Diceros bicornis minor: one gene and its partners. The protein of the gene in region 3 purifies or fractionates together with the protein of the main gene of each other region. This does not show direct contact. Links are inferred from orthologs where the notes say so. Each region holds a gene or a part of one and is shown on either strand. Other genes may lie near its edges.

What was found.
Region 1: the proteins of NUP133 (region 3) and NUP98 purify together in Homo sapiens (affinity purification with mass spectrometry; 6 studies listed by BioGRID and IntAct, with this or other methods). This does not show direct contact. The link is inferred for Diceros bicornis minor from reciprocal best matches to the Homo sapiens genes NUP133 and NUP98.
Region 2: the proteins of NUP133 (region 3) and NUP160 purify together in Homo sapiens (co-immunoprecipitation; 4 studies listed by BioGRID and IntAct, with this or other methods). This does not show direct contact. The link is inferred for Diceros bicornis minor from reciprocal best matches to the Homo sapiens genes NUP133 and NUP160.

What each region holds. Positions count from the first base shown.
Region 1 is NC_080746.1:58,890,377-58,898,250, forward strand, and holds the start of NUP98 (nuclear pore complex protein Nup98-Nup96), read right to left. Parts: upstream 3,006-7,874; 5' UTR 2,884-3,005; intron 2,693-2,883; exon of another isoform or gene 2,447-2,692; intron 1,847-2,446; exon of another isoform or gene 1,759-1,846; intron 1-1,758. UniProt on the Homo sapiens protein: Plays a role in the nuclear pore complex (NPC) assembly and/or maintenance. NUP98 and NUP96 are involved in the bidirectional transport across the NPC. May anchor NUP153 and TPR to the NPC.
Region 2 is NC_080770.1:22,680,457-22,687,330, reverse strand, and holds the start of NUP160 (nuclear pore complex protein Nup160), read right to left. Parts: upstream 3,006-6,874; 5' UTR 2,991-3,005; coding exon 2,891-2,990; intron 2,628-2,890; coding exon 2,516-2,627; intron 1-2,515. UniProt on the Homo sapiens protein: Functions as a component of the nuclear pore complex (NPC). Involved in poly(A)+ RNA transport.
Region 3 is NC_080745.1:26,426,622-26,434,323, reverse strand, and holds the start of NUP133 (nuclear pore complex protein Nup133), read left to right. Parts: upstream 1-4,692; 5' UTR 4,693-4,767; coding exon 4,768-4,949; intron 4,950-6,963; coding exon 6,964-7,082; intron 7,083-7,702. UniProt on the Homo sapiens protein: Involved in poly(A)+ RNA transport. Involved in nephrogenesis.

The DNA.
Region 1 (7,874 bases), on a different chromosome or scaffold from region 3:
TGAAATAGTGGGAGTGTTTCCTCTACAGCAGTGGTCTCAATCACGGGGAATTTTGCCTCCCAGGGGACATCTGATAATGTCTGGAGACATTCTTGATTGTTACAACTTGGGGGGCGGAGGGGTGGCTACGGTATCTAAATCCAGGGAGAGGCCAGGAATACTGCTATACATCCTACAATACAGAAGACAACTCCCCTACAATAAAGAATTATCTGGCCCAAAATGTCACTAGTGCTGAGGCTGAGAGACCCTACTCTAGAGACATACTGTACCAAATACTCAGGTTCAATTCCAAACGCAAAGAATACACCAAATTCTCAAGAAACACTGTTTATACACCTTGCCTCTAATACCTACTGTTAAATCTCTAAATTTCTTAGTCCTCTAACCTTTCAACAAATTGCATAATTTATTTATTTATTTATTTTTTGTGAGGAAGATCAGCCCTGAGCTAACATCCAAGCCAATCCTCCTCTTTTTGCTGAGGAAGACCGGCTCTGAGCTAACATCTATTGCCAATCCTCCTCCTTTTTTTTTTCCCCAAAGCCCCAGTAGATAGTTGTACGTCATAGTTGCACATCCTTCTAGTTGCTGTATGTGGGACGCGGCCTCAGCATGGCCGGAGAAGCGGTGCGTCGGTGTGCGCCCAGGATCCAAACCCCGGCCGCCAGTAGTGGAGCACGTGCACTTAACTGCGAAGCCACAGGGCCGGCCCAACAAATTGCATAATTACGAATGTGCTCTTTATTGGAAATTAAATATCAGAACTACTACTCCTTACTTCCTACGTTTATTGCCAGCATAAAAGTAATATCACAATAAAATAACATAACTGACTTTATTCATGTCCACTAGCATCTAGATATCTAAGAGCAAGCAGAACTTTTAGGAAACCAAATTCACAGCTTGAAAAAAGTCATGTACCAAAGTACCACATAATATACAAACGGTATGGGTCCTCTATCTGGGCCCCATATTCAAGAGCACACAAATACCCAGATTCTTTATTGACTATTTTTAGGTTTAACTTCTCCATATTTGTTTATTCGTTCACGCAAACACACTTACTGAGAGCCTACCATGTGCCAAGTAACCTGAATACAAAGATAAGACAAAAATATTTTACCACAGTCTAATAAAAAGACAAACAGCTAAAATACAAAATGATTTGTACTATAAATAGATGTATCAAATAAGTGTTATGGAAGCTTGCAGGGGAGAGAATGCCAGGAAAGGCTTCCCAGAAGAGGGTGATGCTTGAACTGAGAAAATGTCACAGTAAATATACCCTGTTCACCTCTTAGTATTTAGACTCCAGTTCTCTTCTGTTCTTATACACTACTGTTTTTCAGTTTTTGCTTTTCATCTAAACAGACCAAAGCAACGATCTGACTGATGTGAACGCACCAAAGTGGCAACTAATTCAATTTCACCAAACCTTAATGAAGAGTCAAAAAATAATTCTATCAAAGTATTCCCCAGTACCTCCATCCTGTCCAAATTCCAGTTTTATTTTTTAAATATCCTAACTTCTGCCACTAAGTAAACATACCCTCTGTTACTCAGCTAACAAAAGTTTCTCTCTGAATTTATGTAACTGTCACAGGGAATGATCACTGCTCTTTCTTTCTTCCAGTTAGTTTCTTCTTCCAAAATGGAGTTTAATTTTCTCACCTTATTCTACTACAATACTTAGAATTCTGTACCAGAGAGGAGCCATGAGTTCCAAGGTACAATAACTACAAAACTGCTGCCTACCTTTATGTGTCTTGTCTATACTTCCCGCTTTCTACTTCAGTACTGTTGTGCGTCAGGAACTGGACTGTCTCTTCTGAGTCCCCAGCAGCTGACACAAATAAAAATTTCAGATTTGGAACAGCAAACTAGCCCATGACATGTAGTCTTATCGACTCGTTTCTAATATATAACATCACCGATAATTCTTTAACCAACATTAAACCTAAAAGTACCTAAACCTAACCTCATGCTCTAGGTTAGAGTACCACTAATGAAGCTTCCGTCTTACCATGAATAGAGCTGGTAGCAACTAAATCTCAAACGCTACTGAAGAAGCTACGTCTGCTTCTAACTACCAAATGCCCCCGCTGCCCCACCCAACTCCCCAAAGGGAATCCTCAGTAAGGGAAGGCTGGAACACTTAGGGAGAGTGGTGTAGTAGAAAACCGTCTAGACTGAGTCAGATCTGGCATTGGCTAATCTTGTCCCTTCTCTAGGCCTCGGTTTCTCCATCTATAAAACTTGCACGTGATGTAGGGTAGGCGGATCGGCTTCACTCCTAAAGTCCTCATGGCTATAGTAATCCAGAAACCCCATCTAGCTTTACATGGAACACGTGGCAGAACAGCAGATAACCTTTTACTCCACTAAACCGACCTTAATTCTCAGATACTGTTTTAAAAAGCTAACAAACTCCCGGCCCACTTACCCTAACCCTCGGGCTGCAAATTTCCCCTGTGGAGAGACCAACGCCAATAAAGGCCATCCCGCACGACCGTCAAGAAGTGCCGGGGGGCCCGTATTCAGGGTCGTCAGGCGCTGCCCCTCACAGGGCCGGCCCACCTAATCACTGCCGGACAAATGAATGAGTACAACCACAGAGAGGGACGCTCCCTCAGCGCAGGCTGCACCAGGAGACTCCCGGGCCCAGACCCCACAGATAACCCATTCCCTCCCAGCGACCGAAGAGCCGGGCCTCGGGGCCGCCGAGTCGCAGGGCCCGCCCCCTCCCTCAGGGCAGAAGGTGCGCGCCGGGCGCGAGACTTCCGCGCGGAGAGGGCCTGGGACGCCCCGCGCACCCGCCCGCCCTGAGGGGAGGAGGAGCCTGCCGGTCCCCGGCCGCCACCGCCCGGGCTCCCGACTTACCGCGGTGCGGCGCGGGATGGGAAGCTCAGGAGTGAGGGCCTAGGCCCGTCCGCCACCCGCCGCTCAGACAGCAGCGCGCGGCCGCCACGAAACCGTCGCAGTCGCCGCCTCCGCCGCCACCGACAGCGACCGCCGCTTCGGGCGCAGCGCGCAGAGGGCCCGACTGCGTCACACGCCGCCCGCCGTCAGAGGCTCGCTCCGGGCGCTCCGCCCCCGCTGTCTGCGCATTGGCAGACGCCGCCGCCACTCTAGGCCCGCCCTGTCACTCATTGGGCAACGAGTCTTTTGAAAGCGAACGTGGGGCCGGTCTTCGGGAGAAGGGGAGAGGAGGAAGAGGAGGGACCCCAGGAGTTAGGGGAGGAAAGGGGAGGGGCGGTGGGAGGCATGGAGTCCCGCCCCTCGCCGCCGCGGTTGGCTGGGAGGGAGTCGTGGCGTCACACAGGGCCCTTCGAAGTGGGTTAGTGAGTGGCTACGTTGGGGTGCACCGGCCTGGGTGTGGGAGAAGAATGGTGACGCTATGCCGAGGCTCCGCCCCCTTCCCTGGACCTGAGAGACACGGGCTGCTGAAGCTGGGGCCAATCAGAGGAAAGGCTCCAGGATGGCCTGGTAACTATTCTACTCTTTCCTGGCCCCAGTCCGCAGGCGGTGATGGGAAGGCTTCCCCATCCTCCCGCCAGCACTTCCTGGCCACACCGCCTGCGAAGCTGGAGGGCCCTCCTGGGAGGTCCGTCTGTCCGAGTAGTTTGTCTGCAGCTGCTCCGAGGCTTTAACCCCTGGCCTCCTTGTCTCCTGACCCATAGCAGCCCCAGCACAACCTTTCCCTCTCTGAATGCCTGGAATAGACGTTAAGAGCCTTAGCGATGCCCTAGGGAATGGCTCAGCATAGGGCTTGGTACAAATGAGGATTCTTGGATTTTCTTTCCTACCTGCACTTTAGGAACTCCTGCTTATTCTTAAAGGCCTGGTTCAAATGTTCCCTTCCTGGCTGGGATGCATTTGCCGATCTCTCCCAGCTTGTTGGGCTAATGCTTGGGCAGGCCTCTGTTACAGCCTTGTTACTTTGTATCCTATTATTTACTTTCCTGTCTTCTGTGCCCGGGATCTTGAAGGTCAGAGCTGCATTTTCTACATCTTGGTGTTCCTTTCCTCTGGGGCCTAGCTCAGAGCAGAAGCGGAATATTACAAGGGGAGAAGGTCGAGCGTGTTCTGGAAACTAGACCTAGTGACTGAGGGTCCCACACAGAATAGCAGGGAGTGTGCTCAGAAAGCAAAGCCTATTCGGATTACCGCTCCACCGCTACCACCTCCTCCTGGGACATCAATACAAAATTGAAATGGGCTCTGCCCAAAACGTAGGTGAACTTAAATCCTTCCAAGTTTTCCGGGGTGGCAATGGATTAGAGATAGTTTGTCAAAAAGTGGAATGGTCTTAAAGATAAAATAAGATAATGGGGCCGGGCTGTGGCTTAGCAGTTAAGTGCAGGCGCTCCGCTACTGGCGGCCCGGGTTGGGATCCCGGGGGCGCACCAACGCACCGCTTCTCCCGCCATGCTGAGGCCGTGTCCCACATACAGCAACTAGAAGGATGTGCAACTATGACATACAACTATCTACTGGGGCTTTAGGGGGGAGAAAAGGAGAAAGATTGGCAATAGATGTTAGCTCAGAGCCGGTCTTCCTCAGCAAAAAAGAGGATTAGCATGGATGTTAGCTCAGGGCTGATCTTCCTCACAAAAAATAAATAAATAAATAAGATAATGGATAGGAGAAACCTGGTACATTGTAGATGCTCAGTAGATGCTTGAAGGAAGAAAGAAATAAATACATGAATAGTCAAGTAGTAAAGCTAGTTTAAATATATGACTCCAGACACCTTCCCCCAACTCCTCCAACTAAACATCTCTCTTTTCCCTCCACCCTCCTTTGTTTGTGCTCTGCATCAGAAAGTCATTAGTCTCTCTGGAGAGTTACAGTAGCTTCCTCACTGCCCTCCTGAACTTTTGATTTCTCACCTTCCAATCCTCAAACCCAATTATGTTTAAACCTCTCGTCTATTTATTCTGGTGCTTCTAAGGCCAGGCACACAGTATAGGTGCACGTTAAATGTTTGACACATGAATGAGTGAATTAATTTCTTAAGTAGAATAATAATAGATGTGTGGGACTTTTGAGTCAGAGAACCTTGGGTTTAAATCTGAGCCCAAACATGTATTAGCTGTATGAACTTGGGAAAATTGCTTACTACTTCGGAACCTTAGTTTCCTTGTCTGTAAAATGGGGATAACAACTATACTTGCATCACAGAGTTGTTGTGAGACTTAAATGAGATCAAGCACTTAGCATGGTACGTGGTACCCAGTAAGCCCTCAATAAATAATAGATATGATTTGTATTCTTTAAAAATGTCAAGGAATTCCCTTGCTAAATATTGTGAGACATGGATTCTGACACAGAAAAGGGGCTCAGAAACATGTCTTGAGTGAGGAAGTGAGTACATTCAGTCCAAAGTACTAGTGGGTGTGCAGGAGCTGGGATGCTTAAATAGTGCATACTTGTTAGAAGACTGGAGGGGGAGACATTAGACAAGGAGTGCTCCAGCGAGGAATTTCCTGTGACCATGGTGATTTCTAAGTAGAAGGACCTCTTGTTAGGTACTCTGGTAAGCATGTGGCCCACAAGCTCATCATTCCCAGGGACTTCTGCCCCAGGAAGGACTTCTGTGCGGGCCAGGGCTTCCTGGGCCCACATACTCTTAATCTGCCTGATTCTCATAATACTCCTTTTGGTTATCATCATCTTCCTTCTTCCCCTCTAAAGACAAGGAGTTTGGTGCGTGTTCACAAACACTTGCTGAGCCAAACTCTGTCCTGGGCATCAGGAGCCCAGAGATGTCCACAGCTCAGTGCTCTGCCCTGGCCAAGAGAGACAGAGCTAAGTAAAGTCCATCTCTGTCCTGGGAGCCCTCAGTCTCTCACCATATGCCCTGAGAACTCACTCTATGCAGTTATGAAGGATTAGTGCTCAGGGAGGAGAGAGACCTGTAAGGACTGCAGAATCATAGAAGGTCAAGAGACTTCCTTCCAGATTGATGGTGCTAGATTTCTTATATGGTGCATTGGAAAGAGCAGCAGAGTTGGAGTCAAAGAGAGCTGAGTTCAAGTCCTCATTCTGCTTACCTTTTAGACCTTGCACAAATTATATTTAGTTGTTCTGTGCCCCAGTTTCCTTGTCTATAAAATGGGCACAATAATTCCTATTTTGGGGGCTGGCCCGGTGGCACAGCAGTTAGGTGTACACGCTCTGCTTTGGTGGCCCAGGGTTCGCAGGTTCGGATCCCGGGTGTGCACTGATGTGCCGCTTGTTAAGCCATGCTGTGGCGGCATCCCAGAGGAAGATGGGCACAGATGTTAGCCCAAAGCCAATCTTCCTCAGCAAAAAAAAAAGAGGAGGATTGGCATCAGATGTTAGCTCAGGGCTGATCTTCCTCACACACACACACAAAATAATAATTCCTATTTTGTAAAGTAGTTGTGAAGGTCAAAGAAGATAATGGAATTTGCAAAGGACTGGGCACATGTTTGGCACATGGTAAGCACTCAGTAAATATTGATTTCCTTCCTCTTTTTGTATAACTTGATAAGGGAAGGTGATGTTTATAAATAGCATACAATTAGATTTTTGTAAATCTTGTGTGAATACCTTTGACTTTTTATTAGAGCATTTAGTCCATTGCATTTAATGAATTTACTGATATATTCAGGATTTTATCTAACATTTTATACTTTCTATGTGTCCTATTTGTTCAGTTTCTATTTCTCTCCTTTATCATCTTTTTTGTAATAATAACTGCCATTTATTGAGGCCCAGCTCTTTGCCAGATTTTTTTAAAATTGAGATATAATTCACATAATATAACATTGACCTATTTAAAATATACAATTCAGGGCCAGCCGTGGTGGCCCTTAAGTTCGAACTTAAGTTCAGTGTGCTCTGCTTCGGCAGCCTGGGTTCGGTTCCCGCGCGTGGACCTACACCACTTGTCAGTGACCATGCCATGGCAGCGGCTCACATACAAAAAGAGGAAGATTGGTAACAGATGTTAGCTCAGGGCGAATCTTCCTCAGCAAAAAAAAAAGAAAGAAAGAAAAGAAAATATACAATTCGGAGGTTTTTAGTATAATCACAATGTTGTGCAACCATCACCACTGTCTAATTCCAGAACATTTTCATAACCCAAGACCCATTAGCAGTCATTCTCCATCTCCCCCTTTCCCCAGCCCCTGGCAATTACTAATCTACTTTCTCTCTCAATGGATTTGCTTATTCTGGACATTTCATATATTTCATATAAATGGAATCATATAATATGTGACCTTTGTGTCTGACTTCTTTCACTTAGCATAATGTTTTCTTTTTTTTTTTTAAGATTTTATTTATTTATTTATTTTCCCCCAAAGCCCCAGTAGATAGTTGTATATCATAGCTGCACATCCTTCTAGTTGCTGTATGTGGGGCGCGGCCTCAGCATGGCCGGAGAAGTGGTGCATCGGTGCGTGCCCGGGATCCAAACCCGGGCCGCCAGCAGCAGAGCGCGCACATTTAACCGCTAAGCCACGGGACTGGCCCAGCATAATGTTTTCAAGGTTCATCCATGTTGCAGCATGCATCAGTACTTCATTCCTTTTTCTGGTAGAATAATATTCCATTTTATGGATATACCATATTTGTTTATACATTCCTGAGTTGAATGACATTTGAGTTGTTTTCGCCTTGTGGCCACTCTGGATAATGCTGCTACGAACATTCATTCATGTGCAAGTTTTTTTGTGGACATGTTTTCAATTCTCGTGTGTTTATGCCTAGGAGTGGATTTGCAGGGTCATATGGTAACTCTATGTTTAACTTTTTGAGGCGCTACCAGACTATTTTCCGAAGTGACTCTACCATTTTACTTTCCCACCAGCTATATATGAGGGTTCCAATTTCTGCAC
Region 2 (6,874 bases), on a different chromosome or scaffold from region 3:
CGACACCATGCTGGTCTAAGCTGCCATCTTCTCTTGCCTGGACTGTGGCACCAACCTCCTAATCAGTCTCCCTGCTCCCACTCTTTTCCCACTACACTCTGTTCTCAACCCACAGCCACACCAATCCGTTAAAAACATAACTTAGAGGGCCCAGCCTTGTAGCTGAGTTGTTAAAGTTCCACACGCTCCACTTCGGTGGCCGGGTTTGGATCCTGGGCATGGACCTACTCCACTCACCAGCCCTGCTGTGGCGGCGTCCCACATAAAAAATAGAGGAAGACTGGCACAGGTGTTAGATCAGGGCTAATCTTCGGCAACAGATCTTAGCTCAGAGCAAATCTTCCTCAGCAAAAAAACAAAAAACAAAACAAAAATACCCCACAACTTAGATCATGTCATTTCTCCAATTAAAACCTTCCTATCTCACTCAGAGTAAAAGTCAAAGCCTAAAATAACTGACAAAGCCTTGATCTGGCCCTGGGTTACCTTTCTTATTATCCTATCCTTTCTTCACTCAGCTGCAGACTCCTGGCCCCTTGCCATTCTTTGAACACAACAAACAAGTTGCTGTCTCAGAGTTCTTTGCACTGTTGGTTCCTTTTTCTTGAAAGTTTCTACCTGAAATTCTTGTCCCCCAAATATCTTTACTTCCTCTGCTCAAATGTCAACTTATCCCTGGGTATTGCCCGACTAACCTATATAAAATATTAACACCCATAGGTGTTCCCCTCCCCTCTTATCTTGCTTCCCCGTTCTCTATTCCACTTATCATCTGACAAACTATATTTACATGGTTTCTTTGGTTATTGTTTAGTGCGTCTCCCTCCATGAAAGCAGGGACTTTGTCAGCTTTGTCCCTCCCCTATACCAGTCCCTAAACATTAACTAGAATTCATTAGGCACTCAAAAATATTTCTTAAATAAATGAGATCTGTATCTCTAACACAGGCCTTTCTTCTGAGCTTCAGTCCTGCAAATTTCAACACCTACTTGACATTGCCAAAGGGCTGCTACATAGATACTTCAAATGTAGTACATCTAAAAGCATTATTCACATCTCTCTAAACTCGTCTTCTGCATCTCAGTAAATGGCAACTGCTCCACCCAATATCTGACTGGCCACATGAGACACCAGGGAGTTGCCCTTGCTCCCTCCTTTTCCCTTACCATCCCCCACCCCATATTCAATCTATCACCAAGTCCTAGTGAATCTACTTTCTAAACGCATCTTAAATTCATCTATTTTTCTTTTCCTAACCACTCTTACAATTGGGTCACCAGCGTCTCTTACTTGGGCCATCATAAAAGCAAACTGTTCTTTTGTATTATACCCATTCAACCCAAATCCACTTTCCACAAAGCAGACTGATTTTTTAAAAAATACAACGTTGATCATGTTAGTAACCCTTTAAAACCCTTCAATGAGTGCTCAATGTACTTAGGATAAAATCCAAAATCCTTAAAAAGGACCTGAGGGTCCTTCATGATCTGAGTCCTGCCTACCTCCCCAGTCTCAGCATCTTTCACATCACTTTCCCTTTCACCCACTGCACTCAAGCCACACAGACCTTCAGTCAATTCCTCAAACCTGCCAAGCTCTTTCTACCTCACCGACTTTGCATATGGTGATCCCACTTGCTGAACTGCTCTCTCTCCCAACCGCCTGCCTGGCTACCCTTCCATCCTTCAGATCTCAGGTTAAATGTGACTTTCTTAAAGGCTTTCCCAGCCCTACCAATAAAATTTAGTCCTCCTATTAGCCTCTCATAGTCCCTATACTTTTCCTTTGAAGTAAGCATGAAAAGTTTGTATTTGTGTACCTATATTGTGATCATCAGTCTTTTTCTTTTTAAAACTGCCCCACAGGGCTGGCCCCAAGGCTTAGCGGTTAAGCGCGTGCACTCCGCTGCTGGCGGCCCAGGTTCGGATTCCGGGCGCGCACCGACGCACCCCTTCTCCGGCCATGCTGAGGCCATGTCCCACATACAGCAACTAGAGGGATGTGCAGCTATGACATACAACTATCTACTGGGGCTTTGGGGGGAAAAATAAAATAAATAAGTAAAATTATAACAAAAAAAAATACTGCCCCATAAAGGGTGGGTCCACATCTATCATTACACTGCTACAACATCTTGCACGATGAAAATGGTGGTTGTTTTTGTTCATCACTTCATCCCTAGTACACCTAGCAATGCCTGATGTATAAAAGCTCAAACATATTTGTAGAGTGAAGAAAGCCATAACGCACTATAAAAACATAATGGGTCCATGTACAAAACTGGTCTTTGAGGCTTTATCCTCTAAGCTACATTTCCTCTGCTTCTACTGCTGCCTGGGAGGGTATCTCTCCTAGAATTGTGTGTCTCCTTAATTTTCTCCTGATTCAGATATGAATAGAAAACAGTTTTTCTCTTTTCCTATCGATTACCGTTTCGGAGAATGACACTTGGGGAACAGCCACGGAAATTCAAACGCCGAACCACCCTAGGGGTTTGGCGAACACAGTACTTACCAATGGATGAACCTGTTTCTGGTGACGGAGAACAACTTGCCACTTTCCACATAGTAGAAGCCTCCCGCACTCTCACTGTATTTGACTGCTCCGGCCAAGGCATTTGCAGTCCCTGCAAAAGGAGAGTGGTCAGCCACACACGTGGTTCTCGGGGGATGACAGGGACTGATGGCGCTGAGAAAGCAGAGGGTAACAGATTGACAATTCCTACAAAAAGAAAGGGAAGAAAACAAGGAAGACACTAAGGGAGCTCTGCACCCGGAGCTACAGGCATGTGGATTCAGGAAGATGAACTAGGGGGTCAGAGATTTGGGGACCCATGAGGGGAACCCGAGGGAAAGGACAGGATCGCGCCCTCCTTGGCTGCTTCCGTACCAACGCCGCAGACTGTGAATTCTCGAAAGTGCCTCGGCCTTTCGCGCTCAGCTCCGCTGAGCTCCACGAAGCTCCGTTCTATGGCTCCCGCCGCCGCCATCTTCCCGCCGCCGCCGCGAGGCCCGACGGGACACTGGCAGGCCGGGCGGCTGTCGTCACTTCCGGGGGCGGGGCGGGGAGACGCGCACAGGTGGCGAGGCCGGGGGAGCAGAGGGGCGGGGTCGACCCGTCGTTTGGAGGCTTCAATGGAGTTGGCGGGGGTATGAGGGTGGGCAGCGAGGAAGCCAGCTGAGAAAGGGGCGGGGAGCCGGCCCTCCCTCCGGGGACCTTCGCGTGGCCGGGTGGGACGCCTCCGGGGGGCGGTGCCCTCTTCCCGGCCGCCTCAGGCAGGGGGCGGGGCCGGGCTTGTTTCCAGTTTGAAAACGCCGCGCGGGCGGGGGGCTGAGCCTCCCGGGAGGGGCGAGGGCCGGCGAGGCCGGGCACATGGGCGCCCCCTGCCGGATTCCGAGCTTGCGGTCACCTCTCCCTGCGTCGTGGTGTCGGCCTGCGAATCTCTCCTTTTCTTCACCCTTCAGCGACACGTGGGATGGGGGGGAATGAAGAGGAGAGGGGCCTTCCGTGTTGGAATTCTTGTATAATGAATTCTATATGCTCGTATAATAAAACGTGATGTGTGCAATTAAACATGGATGCCGCAACCTGTTGAGATTCCCTAAATGCTGTTCCTTTGCATACCTGAAAGGAATTTGCCTTTGTTCCACCTGTGATCTGGATGTTTGGAAGATACTGCAGCTTTACCCATGTCTAGAGCAGAGTAAAGCTCAATATTGAGGAAAATGCTAATTTTCAGGGGGAAAGGTTTTTTTTTCCCCCTTGATGGTCAACGTTTGTTAAGCACGTCTGTTATTACTTCTTATTCATTACCAATGACCGAAATCCTTCCTTATCATTCTGTGTTTCATTCAACCTATTCTGACCACTCTCCCATATCTTTCCACCTCACTCTTTCTAGGACACCACCTCTAGCAAGGGAATCCCTCCATTCCAATCCATTGTTTCTACCACCTTTTCACTGTCCCTCACTTCCTTGATGTTTCCTTCTTGCTCTGCTTATATTCCATTTAAATTTAGTCTCTTGCCTAGCTGTCTATCTGCATTCTCCAGTAAAAAAACACGACTTTGATTAACTCCAAATTGGCAGCTGAACAGGCCTGGAGAGACATATACAGCTACACTGACACACTCCCTCTGCCTCCATCATGATTCTAAACCTTGGGGGGGCTCATACTGCTGCCCAGCAGACATTGTAGCATTGTGTTTGCCTTGTCTGTATACCTTCCTAGATGAGTATTTCGCAACTCATCCAACACCTCCCTCTGAGACGGAACCAAGTGGGCTCGCCTCCTGGTGAGTTAAATAAGACTGCACCAGTGGAAGTTGTCTCCCAAAGTAAAGCGTGATTTGCAGCAAGTAGGAGGCCATAAGGAATCATTTCCAAAGTCATGGCTTCTCCGAACCAAGGAAGACAGGAACTTTTATTTGGTTGGGGAATGAATATTCAAAAGGGGGAGCTGGGTATTCGCTTGCACAGGCTCAGTTGGAGAACATGCTTCCACATAATGAGGCCTAAGCTCCTCCTGGAGAGATCTTTGCATTAAAAATAAGGCTTGGTCAGTTTCAGGATGGCTGCTGGTTACGTCTCCTTAACACACAAAAGGAAAAGAAACAACTTGGAAAAACAGTTAATTGCTTCCAAACCCACCTTTGAGTTTCTGGAGGCCCAGAGCCGGTGACACTTCCTCATCTTCACTCAGCCTGCTTCTTCAGTTAGAAAATTAATGCAATCCAAAGAGAATTTCCTCTACCACCACCCCTCCCTCCTTCCCAGCATCTTTTTTTTGTGTGTGAGGAGGATTAGCCCTGAGCTGACATGTGTTGCCCATCCTCCTCTTTTTGCTGAGGAAGATTGGCCCTGGGCTAACATCTGTGCCCATCTTCCTCTACTTTATATGTGGGATGCCTGCTACAGCTTGGCTTGATGAGTGGTGTGTAGGTCCGCGCCCGAGATCTGAACGCGTGAACCCAGGCCTTGGAAGCAGAGCACAGGCAGCTTTAACCACTCGGCCATGGGACCAGCCCCCTATGGTCGGTATTTTAAGTCACTAAGTTTTTGGGTAGTTTGTTAGGCAGCAATAGATATCAGGAACTTTTTGTTACTGCACCAGGTCCATTTTTGCCAGCCACCCAGAAAGCCAATCACCGAGACAACGAGATTGCAGAGAGAGAGGATTTAATCACAAGGCAGCCAAGTGAGAAAAACGGGAGAACAAGTCTCAAATCCGCTTCCCCAAAAATAGGGGCTCAGGGGTATTTATGGGGTAGGGGGCAATGTGGTCTGAAATGATTGGAGGTGAGGAGAGATGAGGTCATTGATGATCTGCGCAAGTGTAGTCAGGCTTCATGTTTCTTCGTAGGACACATGGTCACAGAATGGCGGCATTAACATGCCCTGAGGGTGGAGTTCCAACCTCTTGCCATCAAAAGGGCCCAGTTGATGGGTTGGTGGTCTCAGTCTGGCCTGAAGTGGACAAAGGGCTCAGTTCCTGAAAAAAAATAGCTCAAACACCCATTACCATGGTAATCCAGGCTCCAGGGAGATGTCATCTATAGGAACCTAGTGGGAGTCAGATAGCATATTGCCCAAACAGCACAGTTAACAATGAATAAGTTTATCATGCAGATTTAAGTCCTCTCCTTCCATTCTGATAAGTTTCTAGGTAAGGCCATCCCCCCTTCTTCCTGGTGCAGGGAAGAAGATACCTTTACAAATGGAGACTTTCTTTACCAATGTAAATGTCTCTCATAAAGGGTTACTAGAACTAAGGATGGGTTTATCACGACCCACCCAGGTACCCAGAGATGTCTATAGTAATGGCCTTTTCTGTGGGCAGGCCTCCCATCCCAAACTCCTTTGCTCAGTTAGTGGGGGTGGGGGTCAAATGTCATTCGGGCAGAGACATATTTTGAGTTGGCAAATTCCAATCCCCCATAGTTACTAGCTGTTTAATCATCAATGGCTGTTTGCCTGTTTCATTTTCCTCCTACAGTCTTCCACATTTCCTTCTCAGATCATTGAAACAACTCCCTATTGATCTTAATCTGTTCTTGCTCTGCCTGCCTCTTCGTTTTACAAATACACTGTGAGATAACAGTTCCTATTCATCGCTTATATTGTTGTGTTTCTTCTTGGAATGCTGTAACAAAATACTAAAGGCTGAGTGGCTTCAACAACTAACATTTCCTTCTCACGGTTTTGGAGGCTAGGAAGTCCAAGATCAAGGCACCAGCAGATTCAGTGAGGGCCTGCTTCCTGGGTTATAGCCAGCCACCTTCTTGCTGTGTCCTCAAATTGTGGAAAGGGCAAGGGAGCTCTCTGGGGTCTCTTATTAGGACACTAATACTATTCATGAGGGCTCCGCCTTTATCACCTAATCACCTCGGTGATATTGTGATTTATAATGAGAATATTATATTTGGTCTTTATCCCTGTTCCTGGCGCAGAGCTCCTAAAACCCTTGGAATTCCCTAAACATGAGAGAGCTAAAGATGTCTTTTGTTACGTTAATGAGGTAACTTTTGGAAAGTCCCTAGGTAACCTAAGGAGGTGGCTGGTTGCCAGGGGAACCAACCACGTGATTAGAGGGCTGGAACTTTAAGGGAGGGAAGAGGGGCTGGAGATTGAATTAAGTCACCAATGGCCAATGATTTAATCAATCATACCTATGCAATGAAGCCTCCATAAAAGCCCAGAGGGGGGAAGTTCAGAGAGCTTCCAGGTTGGTGAACTAGGATGCATCGGTGTGCCAGGCCCTAAACTCCACAGGGACAGAAGCTCCTGCATTCAAGACCCCACTCTGTGTATCTCTTCATTTGTCTGTTCATTCGATTCCTTTGATATTCTTTTGTGTGTGTGTGTGTGACGAA
Region 3 (7,702 bases):
TAACAGTTCTACCCCATCTGCAGGAAATAATTCTGGCTACTTTCCTGTTGTCAGTTGCAGTGATTAGTCCCACATAAATCAAAGTCTGGTCTTAATTGAAAGGGCTGTATTTTAGGAAGCTTGTACAGAAGGAGGCATCTACGAGCTGAGTATCTCACACATGTACACATGTCTATACTTGTGAGGTATTTTTCTTTTTATTTTAATAAAACAAAAATGGGCTTATATGGGACATACTATTTGTTAACCAACCTGCTTTTTTTATTTGATAGAGTATTTTCCTATACCTTTAAGTATTCATTAGACACATCCACATGTATTCTTTTTAATCATATAACATTCTATAATGTTAATATACTATAAATCTATCATTGGACATATATCTTGCTTTCCATATTCTTTGCTATTATAAACAATACTACCTATATATCTTTATGATTTCTTTGATTTTTTTCAGATAACTTCTGAAAGTGAAATTGCCAAGTTAAAGAGCATATACAAATTATAAAACTTTTTAACAGACTGTCCTCTTAAAAGACTGTACTAATTTGTAATCCCACCAGAAGTGTATACAATAATGCCTATTTCCCCACAGCCTTTTCAACGTGAGCTATTTTCATTTTTTAAAACATTCCTGCTAATTCAACAGGCAAACAATGCTGACGGGTGGTTTAATTTGAATTTCTTTAATTGCTAGTGAAGTTGAAGATCTTTTCATGTATTTTTGGTCATTTCTAGTCTTTGATTTAGTGCTAGTTCATGCCCTTCATACATTTCCATTTTTTCTACTGGGGTAGCTTGCTTTCTCTTACTGATTTTCTTTGAAGAGTACTATTTCATTAGAAATATTTTTTTCTTCAGCTTGTTTGCCTTTCTGCTGTGGTTGTGTTTTCTGACATCCACAAATGTAGTCATATCTATATTATCTAATTCTCACAACAAGTGGGTACTAGTAGTAATTTAACAGAGGCTCAAAAAGGTGATTTGAAGCAAGTCCCATTTAATTCCAGAATCTATACACTCAATTAATATGCCAGTGGTTATGGCAATGTCCCCAGACAGCAGCGTCAGCAACACCTGGGAAATGCAAATGTTAGAAATGCAAATTCTCAAGCCTCAGCCCAGACCAACCAAGTCAGACACTCTGAGGATGGGGCTCCGCAATCTGGCTTACCCCAACCCCTCCAGGTGTTGCTGATGCATGCTTAAGTTTGAGAGCCCCTGCACTACACTATCCTGTCTTCTAGATTTCTAGTGTAAGTATCTACACTTACACTAAAATAAGGTAAAAAGATAAATAAGGACATGGCAGGCACTAGGAAAAGGTAGCACTCTGGGGAGTGGTAAAGAAGCACTCATGCTGCCCCAAGGTGTATGTCCTGAATATCTTCTGTTCCACTCACCAACTTCTCCACTGTATACTCCAGGAGGCCGCCCTCCATGGACTGTGCTAGTGTCCTCCTCCCTCACACTCTGGCCTCCAGAGGTGGCTGGAGGCCAAGAGAAGAGTGAGGTCATGATACTTACATCCCCAGTCTCCTTCCTCCTGGGATGCCATGGGTTGGCTGCATCTCCCAACCCAAGGCCATGGCTCTGGCAGGTGGCCTTTTTTCTCAGGTTCTGGTGACACCTTCCTTGGCTCATTTGTTGTTAGGAGCCTCAGGGCTCTACACTACCCCTAATATTCCTGTATTAAACTCTCTTTACTCAGCTTGAGGGTGCTGTTTCCTCTAGGATCTTGTTTTATAGAGCCTACAAGGCCCTTCGTGGCCCCTCTTTCCCCAATTTCCTCTACTGTTAGTCATTTGAGGTTGGTTTGCTTGTTTAAAGTCCCTGGAATGCACCAAGATCTTGGCTGCTTCAGGACCTTTGCCTGAGGATCCTCTGCTTAAAATACTCTTCCTCCTATTCTTTGCCTGGATGACTGCTGCTCGTGCTTCATGTTTCAGTTTAAATGTCCTTTTCTCCCAGAGGCCTTCGTAGATTTTCCTCCAAAATTAAGCACCCCCAGTTAGTCTCTATCATATACCCTGCTCTTTTCTTTCACACTGCACATCTCAATTTGTGGTTATATACTTATTTGTGTTCATTTGTTCAGTATCTGTCTTTCTCATTGGTCTGTGATCTCCATGAGGGTAGGGCCCATGTCTACTTCAAGAGGGAAGATGGCCAACTCATGTCCAAAAGAACAATCTCAAGGGGGCAGAAGAGCTTATAGCAGTTATATAGGCTGGTGGGTTACAGTGGGGGGTGGGGGTGGGGTAGGAATGTTGAGCCTCTGGTGTTACAGACTGGGAGTCGCCACACCAGATCTTTCAGTTTTCATTGATGATGGCTATCAGCATAGACTCCCTGTTCGGGGGTCATCACATTCCTAAGGAACTCAAAAGAACAAAGTTATCATCTTATCGCAGCTGGGAGGTACATGCATAATCAGGGGTCATAAAATCTACAGAGCAGTTAGATCTCCTGGAGGGTGCAGATCCAGCTGGGTTAGTTAGTCAGAGGTCATTCAAAGTTACAATAGGGTTTCTTTTCTACAATATGGCTTCCCTCATGTCAACCTTGTCTTGAGCTGGTATCAGCAGGTACTCGATAAATCCATAATGAATGAATGACTCATAGTGCTATCTACTCACCATTCTTCAATAGTCATTCCAGCTCCTGCAAACAGCAGCTTTTATAACTGCATGGTGGGCAAACCACTAGCCAGTCCAACAAAGCCCAAGAACAAATCTATCCCACCAATACCCTCTCAGCCATGACTACGCTCCATTTCTCATCTTACCCCTCCCCCTCCTCCACCAAGTAAGAATGAAACAAGGAGGAAATGCGCTACGTTGTAAGAGCTATAAGACTCAAAGACAAGCTGCAAAGTTGGCTTATAAACCTGGGTGGGAGAAGGAGAAAAGCAGCTTGTCTGTAGAACCGTGGTGAGATGACTGCCCTGATGCTATTCATGTGCACAAATGGCTTCCCCGGGGAAATGTCAACAACTGACACCCACATTGTGGTCTCCCACATATGGATATGCCAGTGTTTACTTAGCCATCCCCTTATTTCAAAAAACATTTAATGGAAGGCTAATGTACCTGTTATGGTGTGCACAAAGGTAACAGCCACTGTGCCTGCTGTTAAGACATTTAAAAGGAGCTATGTGAGAAACGGTTATGAAACAACTATTATGCAGAGTAAAAATATTATAAATAGCTCACACACCGGAGCACAGGGGACAAAGGATAAGGGATACATAATTTTGTGGAAGGCTTCACTTAGAAGGCAGCACTGAAGTAAGACTTGATGCATGAGGTAGAAGCTTGTTAGGCAACAGGGGAGAGAGGGTGTTCCAGGAGAAAGAAACACGTGGAAAGGCATTGGAGGAGGTTACGAGTTTTTTTATTCTTGGAATGTGGAGTGCAAGTGGGAAGTGGTGGAAGTAGAGTAAGGACAGAAAAGCCAGTCAGAGTTAAGTCGCAAAGGACCTTGCAAAGGAGCTTAGTAAATTACCTATGGACAATGGTCAGCCACGAGAGCATTTAGGAGCCCAAGAGCAGCTTTGGGTTTGCCTTAGTTCATTCTGTTGGCAGTGTGGAGGACTGCGTAAAGTGACTAGACAGAGGCAAGGAGACCCAAAAAAGAGACTAAACACTAAAAAAGAGGGAAAAGTTGAGTACCTGAACCAGGGCAGAGGCAGTGCCAATGTGAGCTCTACTGGAGGTTCCCCAGGAGCTACAACGTCCCAGGGTGCTGCAGTGGAGGTAAGTGTGAGCAATGACTAGGATAGAACTCTTCTTTTTGCCTTGGGCAATTGGCCAGTTTTACCAAATGGGACAGAGGTGGTAGTAGGATAGGAATCCTAAAGGGAAACATGAATTCAGCTTGTGTGTGCGTGTGTGTGAGGAAGATTAGCCTTGAGTAACACCTCCGCCAATCTTCCTCTATTTTGTATGTGGGATGTCTCCACAGCATGGCTGATGAGTGGCATAAGTCCGTCACCAGGATCCAAACCCGCGAACCTGGCCGCCAAGGCTGAGCGCATGGAATTTTAACCGCTCCGCGACGGGGTCGCTCCGAATTCAGCTTTTAACAGGTGCATTGCGAGGAGTCTGCAGGACACCCGGGTGAAGGTGTCCACGAGGAACTGTTAGGAGCCTGCGGGTTTGGAGCGACATCTGGGTTAGAGATGTGGACTTGCGGTCACTAGCGTGGATGAGACCGCAGAGTTGAACGGAAAAAATGACAAATCTAGAGAACAAATATAACATTGACTGTGAAACCAGTGTCAGCTTCACAGTTTTTCTCCCTTCTTAGATTGGACCAAGGAACGAACACTTTTCATTTCCCAGACGCTCAGGAGAGACCAGCGCGCAGAGACGCTTCGCGTTTAAGCTGTCAGAGGGCCAGCCCCACCCACTGGCGTCGGGAAGGGCGCCTAGCCCTCCAGTTCTACTTCCACGGAGCTCCGGACTCCGCTGCTCCGGGCCGGAAGCCCGGACACCTGCCTCACACTCTCCGGGGACGACCCCTTCGACCACGCCACGACCCCTTCGACCAGGCCCCGCGTCTCGGCGCTGAGCTTTTACGCCATCATCGTGCGCCCTCCCACCCTAACCCCGCCCCGCCCCGACCACGCCCCGCGGCTCGACGCTGCGCTTTGACGTCTTCACCGCGCGCCCTCCCGCCCCTGGGTGTTCAAGCTGGGCGCGCGGGCAGCGCTTCGGCCCAGCGGCTGGAATCCGCGCGCTCCCTATCGCCTCTCCTTCCATCATGTTCCCGGCCGTCTCCTCTCCGCGGACCCCGGGGCCCGGGGCCCGAAGAGGCCCGCTGGGCGGAGTCGGGCCGGGCTCCACGCCCCGGGCTACAGGCAGGAAGGGTCTGGCCTTGGGATCTGCAGTCAGCTCCCCGGTGCTCTTCTCGCCGGTCGGCCGGCGGAGCTCGCTGAGCTCTCGGTAAGTGATCGTCCCCGGTTGGGTCTGGCGACTGACAGGCTCACGGGCCTCGGTGGGCCTGATGGGGTAGTGTCTCCGGAAGCCTCCGGGACCTGGGGCGGCGGGGGGGAATGCCCAAGTATTGGAAAATAGACCTTCGCCACGCTTGCGAGTCATTTTAGCCTCACTTTGACTAATTCATCAGTTGAGTCTTCGCTTTGCACTTTTCATGGAATTACCTTTATGTAGAGGTGAAGAACTGGATTTGAATCAGTAGTTACCTGCCTCCTTCTTACTACCCCTGTGATCTGGTGTAAGTCACTCATGATGCTCTTCATCTGTGAAATGGCGAAAGTATCTGACCTGAGCCTGCTTGACTAAGGCCAAAAGAGTCAATATGAAATGCCACTACGCAGATGTAAAGTGATGGTGAGAATAAGGTGATGGTGGGAATGAGGACCTCCGGCCCTGAAAATCGTTGTCTATATGTCTGACATACTAACTGCCATTCATATCTGCTGATTGGTAATTCTATAGGGCTTTTAGCTACGGAAGTTAACTTTGTAGCTAAATTAATAGGGAAAAGGCTTTCCATAAACAGTGAGGTAAGAATAGTTTTGTTACCAAACAAAAGCGTGGCTCACCAGCCCACATCACCTGTAGAATCATGCTCCACACCCTCCCTTTCATAATTAATCTAGAACTGTAGAAGGTAATCGTTTCAGAGTAGTTTCCTCTGAATTCATCTATCAAAAATGAATTTCCTCCCGCGGAAAAATGGTGATATTGGATCTTGAATTTACAGTTAAAATTTATAAAATTTTGGAATTGTTTAAAGGAGAAATGATTTTTAAAGAATACACTGTATCCTTGACTTTTGCATTTTGAAAAGTGCTCTTCAAAGTGTTGATTTTGTCGATATCTTTTGCTCTTTTGAGAAAAGACAGAATAAAGGTCATACTTTATTTAATGTGTTTTTTTAAGTCTCTTTTTACCTTCTGGTGATCATTTATTCTTATAATAGGACATAAAGCTCTCCACCACTCTATGTGCATCTCATCATTTAATCTTCATGATAAGAGAGAGAATAACTTTTATACTGGTAACTTTACATTGCTTGTCTGAATGTTAAGATGAAGGGAAGAAGGAAATAAAATTTCTACTGCTTTATCTGCTATTAAAGACCAGGTAACAGCAGATGTTCATGACTCTGTTTAATTTCTGGCTTAATTGCACAGATCTGGTAGATTCTTATAATTGTAGAGCTGATGAGAGCTTAAAAATAACCTAACCCGGGGCCAGCCTGTGGCTTAGTGGTTAAGTGCGCGCGCTCCGCTACTGGCGACCCGGGTTCGGATCCCAGGCACGCACCTACGCACCGCTTCTCCGGCCATTCTGAGGCCGCGTCCCACATACAGCAACTAGAAGGATGTGCAACTATGACATACAACTATCCACTGGGGCTTTGGGGAAAAAAAGGAGGAGGATTGGCAATAGATGTTAGCTCAGAGCCGGTCTTCCTCAGCAAAAAGAGGAGGATTAGCATGGATGTTAGCTCAGGGCTGATCTTCCTCATAAAAAAAATAAATAAATAAAAACATAACCTAACCCAATGTTTGTAAAACATTTTTGACCACAGTGTATGATGAACTTTATTTTATATTGTATTTTGTTTTTCAAAAATGTTGATCGAGACCCTTAAAATGACCTGCAGTTTGAAAAACACTGATCTAGTCCAACCTTCGTATTTCAAAGCTAAGGAAGCAGGATTATAAAGAGTTTAAGTTAACAGCATGCATCTCTAAACTACAGCATAAGAGTCGGAGGCCAAGTTTTCCTAAATCCTGTTAGTCTTTTTTTTAATGAAAAGTACAGTTAATTACACAGTATACAGGAGCCAGAGTTTTTTTCACTGTTACAACTCATCTTTCTTCTTATCAAAGATAGTCTCTTTATTGTGAAAATATATGTATAAAAATTAGAATAATGGAAAATTTTAACTTATGGGTGAAGTAATACGGTCTCTTTTCTTTAGAGGAACACCTACACGAATATTCCCACACCACTCTGTAACCGAGTGTGTAAACTATGATGTAAAAACGTTTGGATCTTCACTTCCTGTTAAAATCATGGAAGCCCTAACATTGGCTGAAGGTGGGTGTCATATTTCATTTGCTTCTATTAGCAATTCAAAATAAAGCCTAGGTCTAGCATGGAGATTGAATTTTGTGCTTTCTCTGGCATATCTTCACCTAAATGGGGAGAAAGGTAACCTATTTGGTTTTTCACTGTAATTGAGAAATTTAATAAATTTGAGAAGCAGAAGGAGTTCATTCTAGCACAAATTAAATCTTTAGTGGTTGTTAAGTACTGCTTATGCAAAACTCAGTCCAATTTAAAAAGTTAATTGAGTATATGAAATTTAGCTTTTAAAAAAACCCAAAAAACTAGTGCCTCACGTTATTGGGTTTAATAATGCAGTAAAATCAAGTCTTAGCTCCATTTCTGGATCCTGTGTAGTATCCCAGAGACTGTATGCACAAATTCATGATGTTATCAATGTGGTGTACCTTTAGAAGATTCTGTTGGCAGAGAATTAGAGTGGAAATTTGGAAGATGTAGTCAACACAAGCTTCAGAAAAGCGACATTAAGGATGAGGAGTTGGGTGACTGTGACAGCAAAGTTCAGAGCATCCTCGTGATCTGCCTAAATCATTTTTATTAAGGATTCAATTCTAGATCTTTGTGATTTTCTGGAACTGTGTTTTTAAATT